3 linked regions of the Callithrix jacchus genome follow. The protein of the gene in region 1 purifies or fractionates together with the protein of each later gene. This does not show direct contact. Links are inferred from orthologs where the notes say so. Each region holds a gene or a part of one and is shown in the gene's direction. Other genes may lie near its edges. The genes, in order: SMAD1, SKI and RUNX2.

Region 1 (4,302 bases):
CCCTCCCCGTTCAGGATCCAATCAAGGTCATATACTGCATTTCATTGTCATGCTTTTTTTTTTTTTAATAGCTTGAGGAAAATTCACATATCAAATGATTGACCCATTTAAAGTGTACAATTCAATGGCTTTTGGTATATCCACAGAACTGTGCAACCATCACCAGAAACTAATTTTAGAACAATTTTGTCACCCCATGACCTTTAGCTGTCACTCCCCAGGTTCCTCAATTCCTCAACCCTATGCAAACCAACAATCTACTTTCTGTCTCCATAGCCTTGCCTACTCTGAGCATTTCAGATATGTGGAAGAATACAATGTGTGGTCTTACTGTGTTATCTTCTTTCACTCCACATGTTTTGAAAGGTTATCCAGGTCACATGCATCAGTATCAGCACTTCATTCCTTTTTATGGCTGAATAATGTTCTCTTGTATGGGATATTTTGTACTGTTTATCAAGGGAGAGTTTTCAACAGGGGAGTGGCCTAATCTGAGTGGCATTTAAGAAGGTTCACTTTCCTGTTGTTCCAAGCAGCAGAGAATGACCAACTGCATCAAATGCTGCTTTTAGGGAAAATAGGATGAATTCCACGAATTGACCAGTAAGGGCGCAAATAGTTTAAGGAAAAAAGGAATTTACTATACATTGATATATGTTAATGATACACTGGATACACATGGCTGGGAGTGATGTTTTTTGCTTCATGTGAAATTTATTCCTCAAAAAATTATTCTTTTCTAAACGTCACTCAACGTTATGGTAATTATCCAAGATTTTATGCAGCTTCCAGAGAGTTGGCCAAGAGAAAAGTTGACTCTTGCAAGAAGATACTTTCAATGTCCATGCAGATCAGGTAGGTAAGAGTTAAGTTTGTTTTCGGGGTGTTGGCATCATCTAAAAGACTGTAGAAATTGGACCAAAATGTAGAGTTCTAAAGCAGTATCTCCTTGTGGCATGTTATTATTTGGAGCAACAAGGTTACCTACTCGAATCATTGTATCCTGAGTTGACACAAAACCCATCTGTTGACCCAGGGTTTGTATAAGCACGTGCAGTAGTTACTAGCTAACCACTTCTGGGTACGTTCAGCTTCTGGTGCCTGCAAATTATTGGAGAGTGAGTAAGGGACAACGAAAACTAGACATCAAAGGGCCAGTCTCGAAAGATAACTGTCAACATGCATTCCATATTTACAGAAGAGTTAATGAGCGTTTCAGAAAATAAACACATGGAGCATCGAAATTCACTTGCAGATAATGCACCAAGTCCACTCTACCGGGACTAAAGAAGGCAGGGTTAGGAAAGCCAGAACGCCGCCACGCTGTTTTTTCTCCAGGAATAAACGGAGCGTGGGGCTGGGGGTGGAAGGGGGTGACTCGGGCCGCTCCCCCTCGCCGTCCTCCAGCCCAGGCCGCGCTGCGCTCACGCCGGCCGGGCCGGGAATTTGGAGAGGATCCCTGGTCGCTCGGCAGCGGCGGCGGCGCGCGGGTGAGCGTGTGAGCGGGCGGGCGGGCAGGCGAGTGCGCCGGGCATTGGCAGCCGAGGAGTGGAGGCTGGGCGGCTCCGACTCCCTGACGCCAGCGCGACCAGATCAATCCAGGCTCCGGGAGAGAGCGGGCTGAAGGGCGGGCGGAGGAAGGAGAGGCCGAGCGGCTCAACCCGGGCCGAGGCGCGGGAGGGACCCTGGGAGCGGAGCGCGGCGCAGCACCAGGCCGGCCTGACCGGGGCCGCGGGACCCCGCTCTCCCGGCCACTCGTGCGCCCGCGCGGATGGGCGCGCCGCCAACCCGGTAAAACGAAACAGACCCGAACCCAACTTTCCCTTCATGCTGCGTCCACGCCTTCCCCTCGGCGCCCCGGGCTTTCCAGAGCTGACGCCTCTGTACGCGTGGGGCCGCCGCGGTCCTGCGGGGCCGGGGGCGCGGACGGCGGCGGGGAGGGGGCTCTTTCCGCGCGGGGCGGACCGCGACGCCCCCACCCCCCATGATGGCGCCTCCCGGCTGCTCTGAGGAGCGAACCTGCCACCGCGTCCTCTCCTCCTCGCGCCCAGCCCGCCAGGCTCCCCCGGCGTCTTTGTTGGGTCTTCTGCTGTGGGAAGCTGAGTTCCCGGCCCCCTCTAGCCTCGGCCCTCAGGCCTGACCGCGCCGGGACCTCCCCAGCCGCGCTCCCTCTCCGCGCGCTCCTCACATCTCTCCGGTGCTGCAGCCGGGCCGAGGCCAGTCCGCGCGGCCCCGGGCCCATTGTGTCCCCGCGCCGGCGGGGCGACCCCTGCGGGAGCTGGAGAACGGCCGCCGGCGCTGCCTTCCCAGGCGCCTGGAGGAACGGGTCTCGTGGGCGGGGGACCCTGGCGCCCCAGACCCCTCCACATCCCGCACGGGTTTCCTTCTCGGCCCTAGCGAGCCTCTTTGGGGTCGAGGTCAAGGAAAGTTCGCACCGAAATCCCCTCTAATTTATTCAAAGGTTTGGCCGCGGCGCGTAATTTTTTCCTCCTCTTCCGCCTACACCCGCTTCGTCTCCTGGTGTCTCATTCCTTTCCCTTGACCGCAGTCGATTGCCTCACTGCATGTGTATTCGTGAGTTCGCGTTGAACAACTGTTCCTTTACTCTGCTCCCCGTCTTTGTTAGTGTTTCTCGGGGTTGTTTCTGTAGGAAGGTGGGGGTGGTGGGCGTGAGAGACAGACGTGGGCTTGTTTTTCTAGTTGCTGAATCTGTAAGAAGGCTTTAAAGGGAGAACGTTTCCTTGATGATGTGCGTTAGGAGGGGAGGAGGAACAAATGCCTGCCAGATCTCACAACTACAGTAGCTGCGCTTTTGTTTATTTTGAAGCGCATGCAATTTTTAAATAGACGGTGCAAGACAACCAGTAAAGACGCGTTTCTGAAAATTGAGACCGATCTCAGAACCATCTCCTGGGAAAGCATCATTTTCGTGAGTGCCGAGACAACTGTCCTTTTTCTACGTCCCCCCCCCCCCCGCCCGCTCCCCAGTCTTTCTCTCCTTTCCACTGCATCTGAAGTTTCAAAGTACGTGGAATGATACAGAAGTTGCATTTCTGTTGTGTCTTCCTGTTGCTGGAACTCTCAGCTGCTAAATCTCAGAATGCCTTTATTTCAATAAGAACATCTTTGGCTCTAATTGCCTGTTGCGGGTAACTTGCCCACATTTCAGTAACACAGTGAGAAAACTGTTCCCTGCCCATGTTGATTTTTCATCTTGTTTGTAATTAAATTGTATTGAAGGTAGGTGAGCTGTATTAAAAAAGAATCGGGACAGAACCAGTGTTTACTGCCCCAGCATTTTCAATTGGTATAAATATTGTTGCATCAGTGTTATTCTGATGTAGGTGCCAGATCTAAATATGCTGTACTGATTAAAATGTTTGTTCTGCCCTCTCCCACTCTCCCATTTTCAGTTATTTGATATTTCTGTGCAGGTGGTGTATCATTGGTGGTGTAATACTGCAATTCTTAGTAAAGTTTAACTAGGGTTGTGAAAGATGATTTTTCTGGAGGTGGGTGATGCCAGAGGCTCTAGAGGATCCAGGAAGGATCGGGTTTCTTCTGAGGGTAGGGATTTGTCCTTGATTTAGTTTTGACCCCTGCAACCATAGGTATGTAACCAAATACATTTTTCCTCTTGCTGTATCCTTTGGTTTCATATCCTTGAAGAGCTGATGATCTTTGTGTTTTAGAGAAATGACAGTTTTTAGGCAATTAAAAAAACATTGACCTCTAAGACTTCTTGGAATTTAATTTTATTTCTACTAAGTTTAGTAAGGCAGTAAGATGAAGTAAGTCACATTTTCTCAACTGCATTTGTTACATTTATTAGTTAAAAACTAAATTTCACTTTGTAATTTCGATTTCTAGCAATTCTGGGTTAAAGATAAAATCTAATAACTTAGTAGATTGAAAATAAGAAGTAACTTGGGTGTAATTAGACAAACATGTTTAAGCTGCAGTAGCCTCCATAATCAAGGCCAAGTGTGTGTGTATAACAGATCTCATTTGTGTAGTCTTACAAAGCTAATGGAAGCATCACTGAGGCTTTATAAATAATGTAAGTTGTGTATAATGTAGAGTCTCCAGAGACTGCAGAGAAAGCATCATTACCAGGCTTTTCAACCTGCTTGAGATCTTAAATTGATTTACAGCACTGAACTAGTGCAAAATGATACATCAGGATGACATGGGGTCAGCCTGTAAAAGTCTATGATGTCAGCCTATTAGTTCAGTCATCATAATTAAACCATATTACAGGGGTAGCTAAGCAGGAGTCTGGCGTTATACTTCAGATATGGG
Region 2 (3,634 bases), on another chromosome or scaffold:
CCCAAGGATGGCCCCCAGCCCGTCTGCCTCAGCTCTCTAGATCTGCAGGGCCCTCGGCCACCCCCACTGAGCGGATGGGGCCCGGGAACCTATGGGCCTACGGTCCTCCCACCACCTCTGCAGGGTGGCTGTTGGGGGCCCGCCAGGCAGAGCTGTGTTCTTAGGCGCTGGTGTTCTTTCTTGGGAGTTGCCTGAGGCATTGACACTTTCCCACAGGGTGTCTGAGGTCTCCTGGAGTCAGCACCAGCTGCTGTGGCTTTTCCCCAGGTGAGAACTGAGCTGAATTTCTGCGCCCGCTTCAGTGGCTGCTCAGACAGGAAGCTCTCTTCGGCTGGGTGGCCTTGGCCTTCTGTGCCTCTCGGGAGGGTCCACATGATTCTGGAAGGGGCTCTCTGCTGCAGCTAGGATGGCACCCACCCCTGCTGGGCACAGGCGCAGCGCCCTGCGGTCAGGGCCTCCACCAGACGTCACCAACACTCACTTCCCCTCAAAAGCCACCACAGAGGGGGTATTTACAGCGTCTTTTTTCTTGAAGGTTATTTTTGTGTCTGAAAAAAACCATCTGCAGTCCTGGATGCCTTTGGGCTGCCACTGCCCCACACCCGCCCTGCCTCTAGGGCCCTGTGTGCCTGACATACCTTTCTCCCTTGGGCTCAGGTCAGAGCCGCTGCCTGCCCCTCCCCGGGCCCCACCCTGCTTGTTCCCTGAGGGCTGCAGGGTGGGTGTCGGTGCAGGGGAGGCCTGGGGCTCTCCGTCCGGGCCCAGCCTGTCCCCTGAGCCTCTTGAGTTTTGTGGTGAAAACCCTGTAATTGGGGCACCTTATGGATGGCCTGCCCCTGCACGCCCTTCTCCCCCAGGGAAGCAGGGTCCCTGCCATCTTCAGGAGGCTGGTTCCTGATACAGCGTCTTCTCCTCGAGTCCTGGAGGTGGGAAGAACCCCCATCCCTGCCTGAGTGTGCTCTGCCCACCAAGGCTTCCTGGCTGAGGACAGGTGCGGCACCCCCACCGCCTGACCTCGCTGCCTCCACTTGGGGTTGGCCCTGGCAGAGTGAGGGGACCTCACCCCTGTGAAGGGCCCCTGCCTTATGAGGCTTGTTCTGTGTTGGCTCATGGTATGGACTCTGACGCAGCTGCCCTGGGGGTTCTGTGCTGTCCTTTGGGGTCTTCAGTGGTAGAGGGACGGCTGGTCTTCCAGAGACCGCCCTGTTGTTTTGCTTGAGGAAGAGTCCTTTGGTTTCAATCGTGCCTTGCAGCCAGCGCATCTTGGGGCTCTCCAGCCACGGTGCTGGAGTTCACGTTTGCCTGAGGCTAGATGTGGCCGACTCAGGCCCTGGCACACAGCTGTGTAACTCACTGGTTCTTGGGGGATGTGCCCGGGCACCTGACACACAACATCTGGTTCTGGGTGGGCTGGGTCCAAGCACCTTACTAAGCTTCCTCCAGCAGTGTGGCTGGCAAGGAAGGAGGAAGAGGTATGCGCGGTGCCGTCCTGTAGAACTGGCTCCTTCGCTGTCCTTTGTTTTGAAAATGTTTGCTTCCTGGGGGGGCGGGGGGGCAGCCAGAATGCCCACTCTTTAATGCTGCGGTGCCAGTGGGCCCCCAGGGGCACGGTATCCCCTTTCCAAGAGCCACCCCTGTGCTGCAGCCGCCCTTTCCAGACAAATCCGTTGGGAGTGGCTCTTGCCGGACCATGGCTGGTTAAGTTGAGTGCCCTGCTGGGCACTCTCTGAGAACACATGTTCTAGGAAAGGACAAGGGGACTCGGGGTCAGGTTGTGTCGCTGTGGAAGAGGAGAGTGAGTCCTGGTGCTCCGTCCCCAACCCCACTGCAGCTGTGGGTGAGGTCACCCGGAATGCAGGACAAGGTCCACTCTGTTCTCTTGGAAACGACTTCTGCCTCAGCACAGCCTCCACACACCTTTTGCATGTGGCCCAAGGGCCTTTATGCAAAGTAGACCTAGCCTCCTGAGGGGTGCCCTGGAATCTGCCTTCTGCGCCCCTAAGGGTCCTTTGTGGCCGGAGTACCTGGAGCTCTGACAGTCATGTGCTGGCCACGGGGCTGGTGGAGGGACCCTACGCAGGGGACCAGAGGTGCCAACAAGACCTTTCATTGATCGCAGGTCTCTTCTGAGCCCCCAGCCTCCATAAGACCCAAAACAGATGACGCCTCTTCCCAGTCCCCTGCGCCTTCCGAAAAGGACAAGCCGTCCAGCTGGCTGCGGACCTTGGCCAGCTCTTCCAATAAGGTGCTGCTGGGCCTGTCGGGGTCCTCGGGGTGGTGGATGCGGGGCCTTTCCTCTTGGGCAGTCTCTGCACTGGTGGCTCTGCCTGTCCCCTACCAAGGGCTGGCACCCGGTGCAGCCTCGGGGACACAAAGTGGCTTGTTTTTCTTCCGGTCACTTACACAGACGACTCTTTCTCGACAGAGCCTGGGCTGTGTTCATCCTCGCCAGCGCCTCTCTGCTTTCCGACCCTGGTCCCCTGCGGTGTCAGCGAGTGAGAAAGAGCTCTCCCCACACCTCCCGGCCCTCATCCGAGACAGGTGAGTGGGCGCTGCTTGCAGGTGCTCCTGACCACAGCAGAGGCCCCACAAGGGCTGCGCACTCAGACCCGCTGTGTTTCTGCAGGCCGGGTGCCCAGACCTGCTGCCTTTTGGTCAAGGCAGTCTCAGTGCTGGTCACTTTGGCTGACATTAGCATGGGCACACCCAGAGCAGAGCATTCCCTGGTGCTCTGGGTGCAGCCTCTGGATGCGATGGTCAGTCTAAGTCCCACCTGCAAGGGATACCCAGCTAGCAGAAGACGCTTATGGATCCTTAGGAACCGAAAGCTTCCCTGTAAGGTTCGGAGCTGGGAAAGGAACTCTTTCCGCCGTTTTTTTTTGAGACAGAGTCCAGCTCTGTCACCCAGGCTGAAGTGCAATGGCGCAATCTTGGCTCCGCAACCTCCTTCTGGGTTCAAGTGATTCTCCTGCCTCAGCCTCTCATGTAATTGGAAGTACAGGTGTCCACCACCACACCTGGCTAAGTTTTGTATTTTTAGTAGAGACAGGGTTTCTCCATGTTGGCCAGGCTGAGCTCGAACTCCTGACTTCAGGTGATCTGCCCACCTCGGCCTCCCAGTGTTGGGATTACAGGCGTGAGCCACTGCGCTTGGCCAGTCTTTTTAACACCTTCAGAGGGGGTGTCCACCAGGATGGGTCTGGGTGGCGCTTGGGGACAGAGGCACCTTCCCAACACCTGCCTGCCCCTCCAGCTTCTACTCCTACAAGGGCTTTGAGACGGCTGTGGCCCCCAATGTGGCTCTCGCACCACCGGCCCAGAAGGCTGTGAACAGCCCGCCGTGTGCTGCCGCCCTCTCCCGGGCCCCCGAGCCTCTCGCTGCTTGTACCCAGCCTCGGAAGCGGAAGCTGACTGTGGACACCCCAGGAGTCCCAGAGACACTGGCGCCTGTGGCTGCCCCGGAGGAGGACAAGGACTCGGAGGCTGAGGTCGAAGTTGAAAGCAGAGAGGAATGTACGTGTGAGTCGCTTTCTGTGCCTACTCCGGGGCTGGCTGAGAGGGTTGGTTGCCCATGTCCAAGGCCCTCGGGCAGATTCTGTGCGTATTGGGGCCCACGTTTCACAGGTTCCTGCGG
Region 3 (4,321 bases), on another chromosome or scaffold:
ACTGTCTCCGCCTACCCCATTTACTTTATGCCACTCCTAGTTACTATCACACTAGGAAGAAGTCTAACATGCAGATTTAGAGTGGCATGGATAAATGGCAAAAAATGCCTAGAAAATTGGTCTGTTCGCCTTTATAATTTTTGTTGAAAAATACTCCATCGCTCCTAACTGATGAAAACAGGAAGCTCTATTCATAAATATAAAATCCACTGCCTATAATATATAATCATCCTAATAAGAAAATGAGTTCTATACATACTTCTCCAAAGGGGCAAAAAAGGAGATAGTTTCCCAAAGATGTTTCCAATTTTCTTCTGAATCAGAATTAGCAAATCGAGACGACTAACATACTCTGTCTGTGGGCATTATTCCTTACTACACACAGGATTTTGTAATTTATTTCAAAGGTTTAGAAACAAAAAAATATAGCTTCTGTTAACCCACTCTATTCTAAGCTCACAGAATCTAAAGTGAATATCTACATTATAACATAAGCATTTTACTTTATAGAAGATCTGCTATCAGACACTTTGTTAACATCCAAACTACTTAAAGAATGATATAAAATGAATACGCTTCCATGAAAGATAAAAATTATTACAATCATAAAGAAAACTAAGATTCATCCAATAAACTATATTACAATTCCTGTCATTCACTTTTTTAAGATCTTCCAACTAGGCATGAGATAACGGTATACATGAAAGATTACATTTAATCGTTATTGTAAAGGCCGCCATCTAAAATATTGATAATAAACTAGACAGCTGTAATTTAAAATTTGTAAAAAAAAAAATGCCTAGACTAACACTTTCATGACAGCCAATTACAGTCAAGCCTAGCAAGCAGTTTGCAACCAGACCTTAAGGTAAACTTTTTTTTTTACAATGAGTTACAGATTCACAAGTTTAAGAAGACAAGAAAAAGGAAAACAGAAGGAATCCAGCCACCCAGCAAATATGAAGCAGACCCCAGAATGTGATACAGTCCAAAGATGTAAATTATTGTAAATCATCACTGTTGTTCAGAATTTCACACAGACTCTTGAGCCAATTTTGTTCATTTATCCACAGACACAATAATGAACTAAAAAGAGGAGGCAAAAAGGCAGGGGTTGGGGGGGAAGAGTAGAAAGGAAAGTCCTTAACTGCAGAACTCTGCTCTACAAATGCTTAACCTTACAGGAGTTTGGGCTCCTTCAGCATTTGTATTCTATCCAAATCCTCATGAGTCACAAAAATTAAAAAGCTATATCCTTCTGGATGCCAGGAAAGGCCTTACCACAAGCCTTTTGTGAGAGAGAGAGAGAGAGAAAGAGAGAGAAAGAAAGAGCAAGGGGGAAAAGCCACAGTGGTAGGCAGTCCCACTTTACTTTGAGTACTGTGAGGTCACAAACCACATGATTCTGCCTCTCCAGTAATAGTGCTTGCAAAAAAAAAAGGAGTTTTAAAGCTTTTGCTTTTTTGGATTGTGTGAATGCTTCACTCGCCTCACAAACAACCACAGAACCACAAGTGCGGTGCAAACTTTCTCCAGGAGGACAGCAAGAAGTCTCTGGTTTTTAAATGGTTAATCTCCGCAGGTCACTACCAGCCACCGAGACCAACAGAGTCAGTGAGTGCTCTCTAACCACAGTCTATGCAGTAATAGTAGGTCCTTCAAATATTTGCTCATTCTCTTTTTGTTTTGTTTCTTTGCTTTTCACATGTTACCAGCTACATAATTTCTTGACAGAAAAAAATAAATATAAAGTCTATGTACTCCAGGCATACTGTAAAACTAAAACAAAGTTTGGGTATGGTTTGTATTTTCAGTTTAAGTCTGCAAGCAGTATTTACAACAGAGGGTACAAGTTCTATCTGAAAAAAAAAGGAGGGACTATGGCATCAAACAGCCTCTTCAGCACAGTGACACCATGTCAGCAAAACTTCTTTTGGGGTAAGTGTTATCATATTTTTAAATCCTGTAAGATATGAACCTGTTAAACATAAAGGTATGATTCTTAAACTGCTAGCTTTTCCAAGTAATATATTAAAGATCTTAATAATGCTATCTTGTTGCATTAAGAATTGAAAACGAAATTTCCGTATCTATTTGCATTTGGTATCTGTAATGTTATCTAATTTTCAAAGTAATGACTTGAAATAGACAAAATTAAATTATCTCACATTGATCAAAATGTTTTCTAGAGTTACAGAAGTGAGGATATGAAAAGAGTAAAAGAAACAGCTTAATACTCTCATTAACCCTCACCAGAAGAAAAATCAGATTCTAAATTAATCAAAGCATTATAAATGATTGACTCCGGCAGCTCCCAATATTTGAGCAAACTTCAAAAAGGAAACAATTTTACAAAATAACAGACCACAGAATTATCTCAACATTATGGTCTACCATGTAAAACACAGAAATAAACCTGTAATACTATTAACATTTTAACCAGCTCAACTAAAAGAAATCTACTTATAAATTTAAACTATATCCTATCTAAATGTTTGTTTCTAAACAACCATATATAAGTATACATTCAGCTGAAACAAAATTATGATAAGCACATCATAGCCAATTTTAAAAGATCTTTATAGTTTCCCAGGATATTAAAGTTCATGGAAGTATTTTAAAACTTATATGCAACTGCATTTTTCTACATAATTTTAATTTTACATCCACACACTGTTATCCATAGTAGACCTTGTTATAAACACACAGCAAACACTGAAACGTCTAAGATTCTTTTAATCACATTCTTGGACCTACCAAAATGAATACTGCTGTTTAGTCTCATAAAAAATAAAGCTCCATAAGGATATCCCATATGATTTTTAAAAGCCACAACCATTAAACCATACTGGCCTTTAAAAGAAGCAGGCATAATATAGTCCCTAGTATTTAATTTCAACTTAGTGTTGATATAGATATGCAAATGACTTTAACATTCATCAGCTAATGTATTATAGTAAAATATTTAAACACACTTACAAGATTCTCTTTATGACGTCCAACATGTTCCAATACAAGGCAAGTTTTTAAAATTTTTTCTCATATCCTTTAAATTTTTTTGCTGTGTACATCTATATTAACTTTGCTTTTAACTTACAACTAATGACTGGAGTTTCCTTTACTCCTCCTACTTCACGCACTTTAACTGGCTACTACTAGAGGATCAGTCTTAGTTTAGGTCAAAGATAAAAAACTTCAAAGGAGAAAAAATGCTTTCTCTTATAGGGTAATGAAAATGTACAGTATTTTACAAAAAAAATGTAAAATTGCTGTAGTGACTCCCTCAATAACTGTAAGTGGGCCCCCTAAGTTATAATATATACAATATAATAATCCAGATTAATTTAAAAATTTAATGATGCGTACTAAGTATCATTCTAAAAATTCCTATATTAAGGAAGCAGGACATAAATACAGCTAGACTACATTATAACACATAGCATAATTATACCTAATACATTGAAACTTTTGTTACTACTACCAAAGAGATAAAAGGATAAAGAATGGTAAAGACTACTGTTACACAGAGGGATCATTTGAAACAGGGATAACAGAGGTATCAGGGAGGGATAACAGAGACAGTTAAGTTACTCTTAAACAATATCACTGTGTTTAACTACATTTTAAATACATTTTAAAAACTGGATCAGGAACAAAAGTTTCAAAAAATTCTTCAGTATTAGAAGTATAGCTACACAAAGAATCTGTTAAAACTGTCACAAAGAATATATTAAAATGCTTCTTATTCTATCATAACAGGGATCTTATATTTCTGTAACATTCTTAATAACTATTCTACATTAAAATTTCCAAAACTTGACCGAATTCTAAGTAAGGCACAGTAGTGAACTTCTTTTTAACATTACAACCAATTCTTCCTCTTCTGAAAAGTGGGTTTCACCTTCCCTTTTCCCAGCTCCCAAACAGTATCTTAAGCCCTCAATTGAGAACTTAACATGAACCCACTACCTCAGACTAATTACAGGTGAGTAGTAAACATCATGTATAGGTTATCATCACATTGCAAACATTTCCCCATTCTATAATCTATGTGAAGTCTAAAACCTCACTTCAGGCTTTAGATTATTATATAATGATTATCACAACGAACTAATGAGATGTCATACGTATGTGCTCTAATTTTGTAAAATAGTTAAAGTTTAGGCTTTTCCTAGGTGAGAAACAAATCACATATTAACAACTGGCTCACCTCAAATACAATGAGTGAGTGTGTGTGTGTATGTGTGTGTGCGTGTGTGTGTGTGTGTAGGAGAATATGTCTCAGTGTCCTTGATCCCTCAGCATACTTCACCTTGAGTTA

What was found.
Region 2: the proteins of SMAD1 (region 1) and SKI purify together in Homo sapiens (affinity purification with western blotting, with the first as the bait; 3 studies listed by BioGRID). This does not show direct contact. The link is inferred for Callithrix jacchus from reciprocal best matches to the Homo sapiens genes SMAD1 and SKI.
Region 3: the proteins of SMAD1 (region 1) and RUNX2 purify together in Homo sapiens (affinity purification with western blotting; 3 studies listed by BioGRID). This does not show direct contact. The link is inferred for Callithrix jacchus from reciprocal best matches to the Homo sapiens genes SMAD1 and RUNX2.

What each region holds. Positions count from the first base shown.
Region 1 is NC_133504.1:51,521,778-51,526,079, reverse strand, and holds the start of SMAD1 (mothers against decapentaplegic homolog 1), read left to right. Parts: upstream 1-1,405; 5' UTR 1,406-1,490; intron 1,491-1,590; exon of another isoform or gene 1,591-2,929; intron 2,930-4,302. UniProt on the Homo sapiens protein: Transcriptional modulator that plays a role in various cellular processes, including embryonic development, cell differentiation, and tissue homeostasis.
Region 2 is NC_133508.1:40,346,320-40,349,953, forward strand, and holds part of SKI (ski oncogene), read left to right. Parts: intron 1-2,119; coding exon 2,120-2,245; intron 2,246-2,425; coding exon 2,426-2,541; intron 2,542-3,253; coding exon 3,254-3,519; intron 3,520-3,634. UniProt on the Homo sapiens protein: May play a role in terminal differentiation of skeletal muscle cells but not in the determination of cells to the myogenic lineage. Functions as a repressor of TGF-beta signaling.
Region 3 is NC_133505.1:53,756,544-53,760,864, forward strand, and holds the start of RUNX2 (runt-related transcription factor 2), read left to right. Parts: upstream 1-1,474; 5' UTR 1,475-1,476; coding exon of another isoform or gene 1,477-1,565; coding exon 1,566-1,938; intron 1,939-4,321. UniProt on the Homo sapiens protein: Transcription factor involved in osteoblastic differentiation and skeletal morphogenesis. Essential for the maturation of osteoblasts and both intramembranous and endochondral ossification.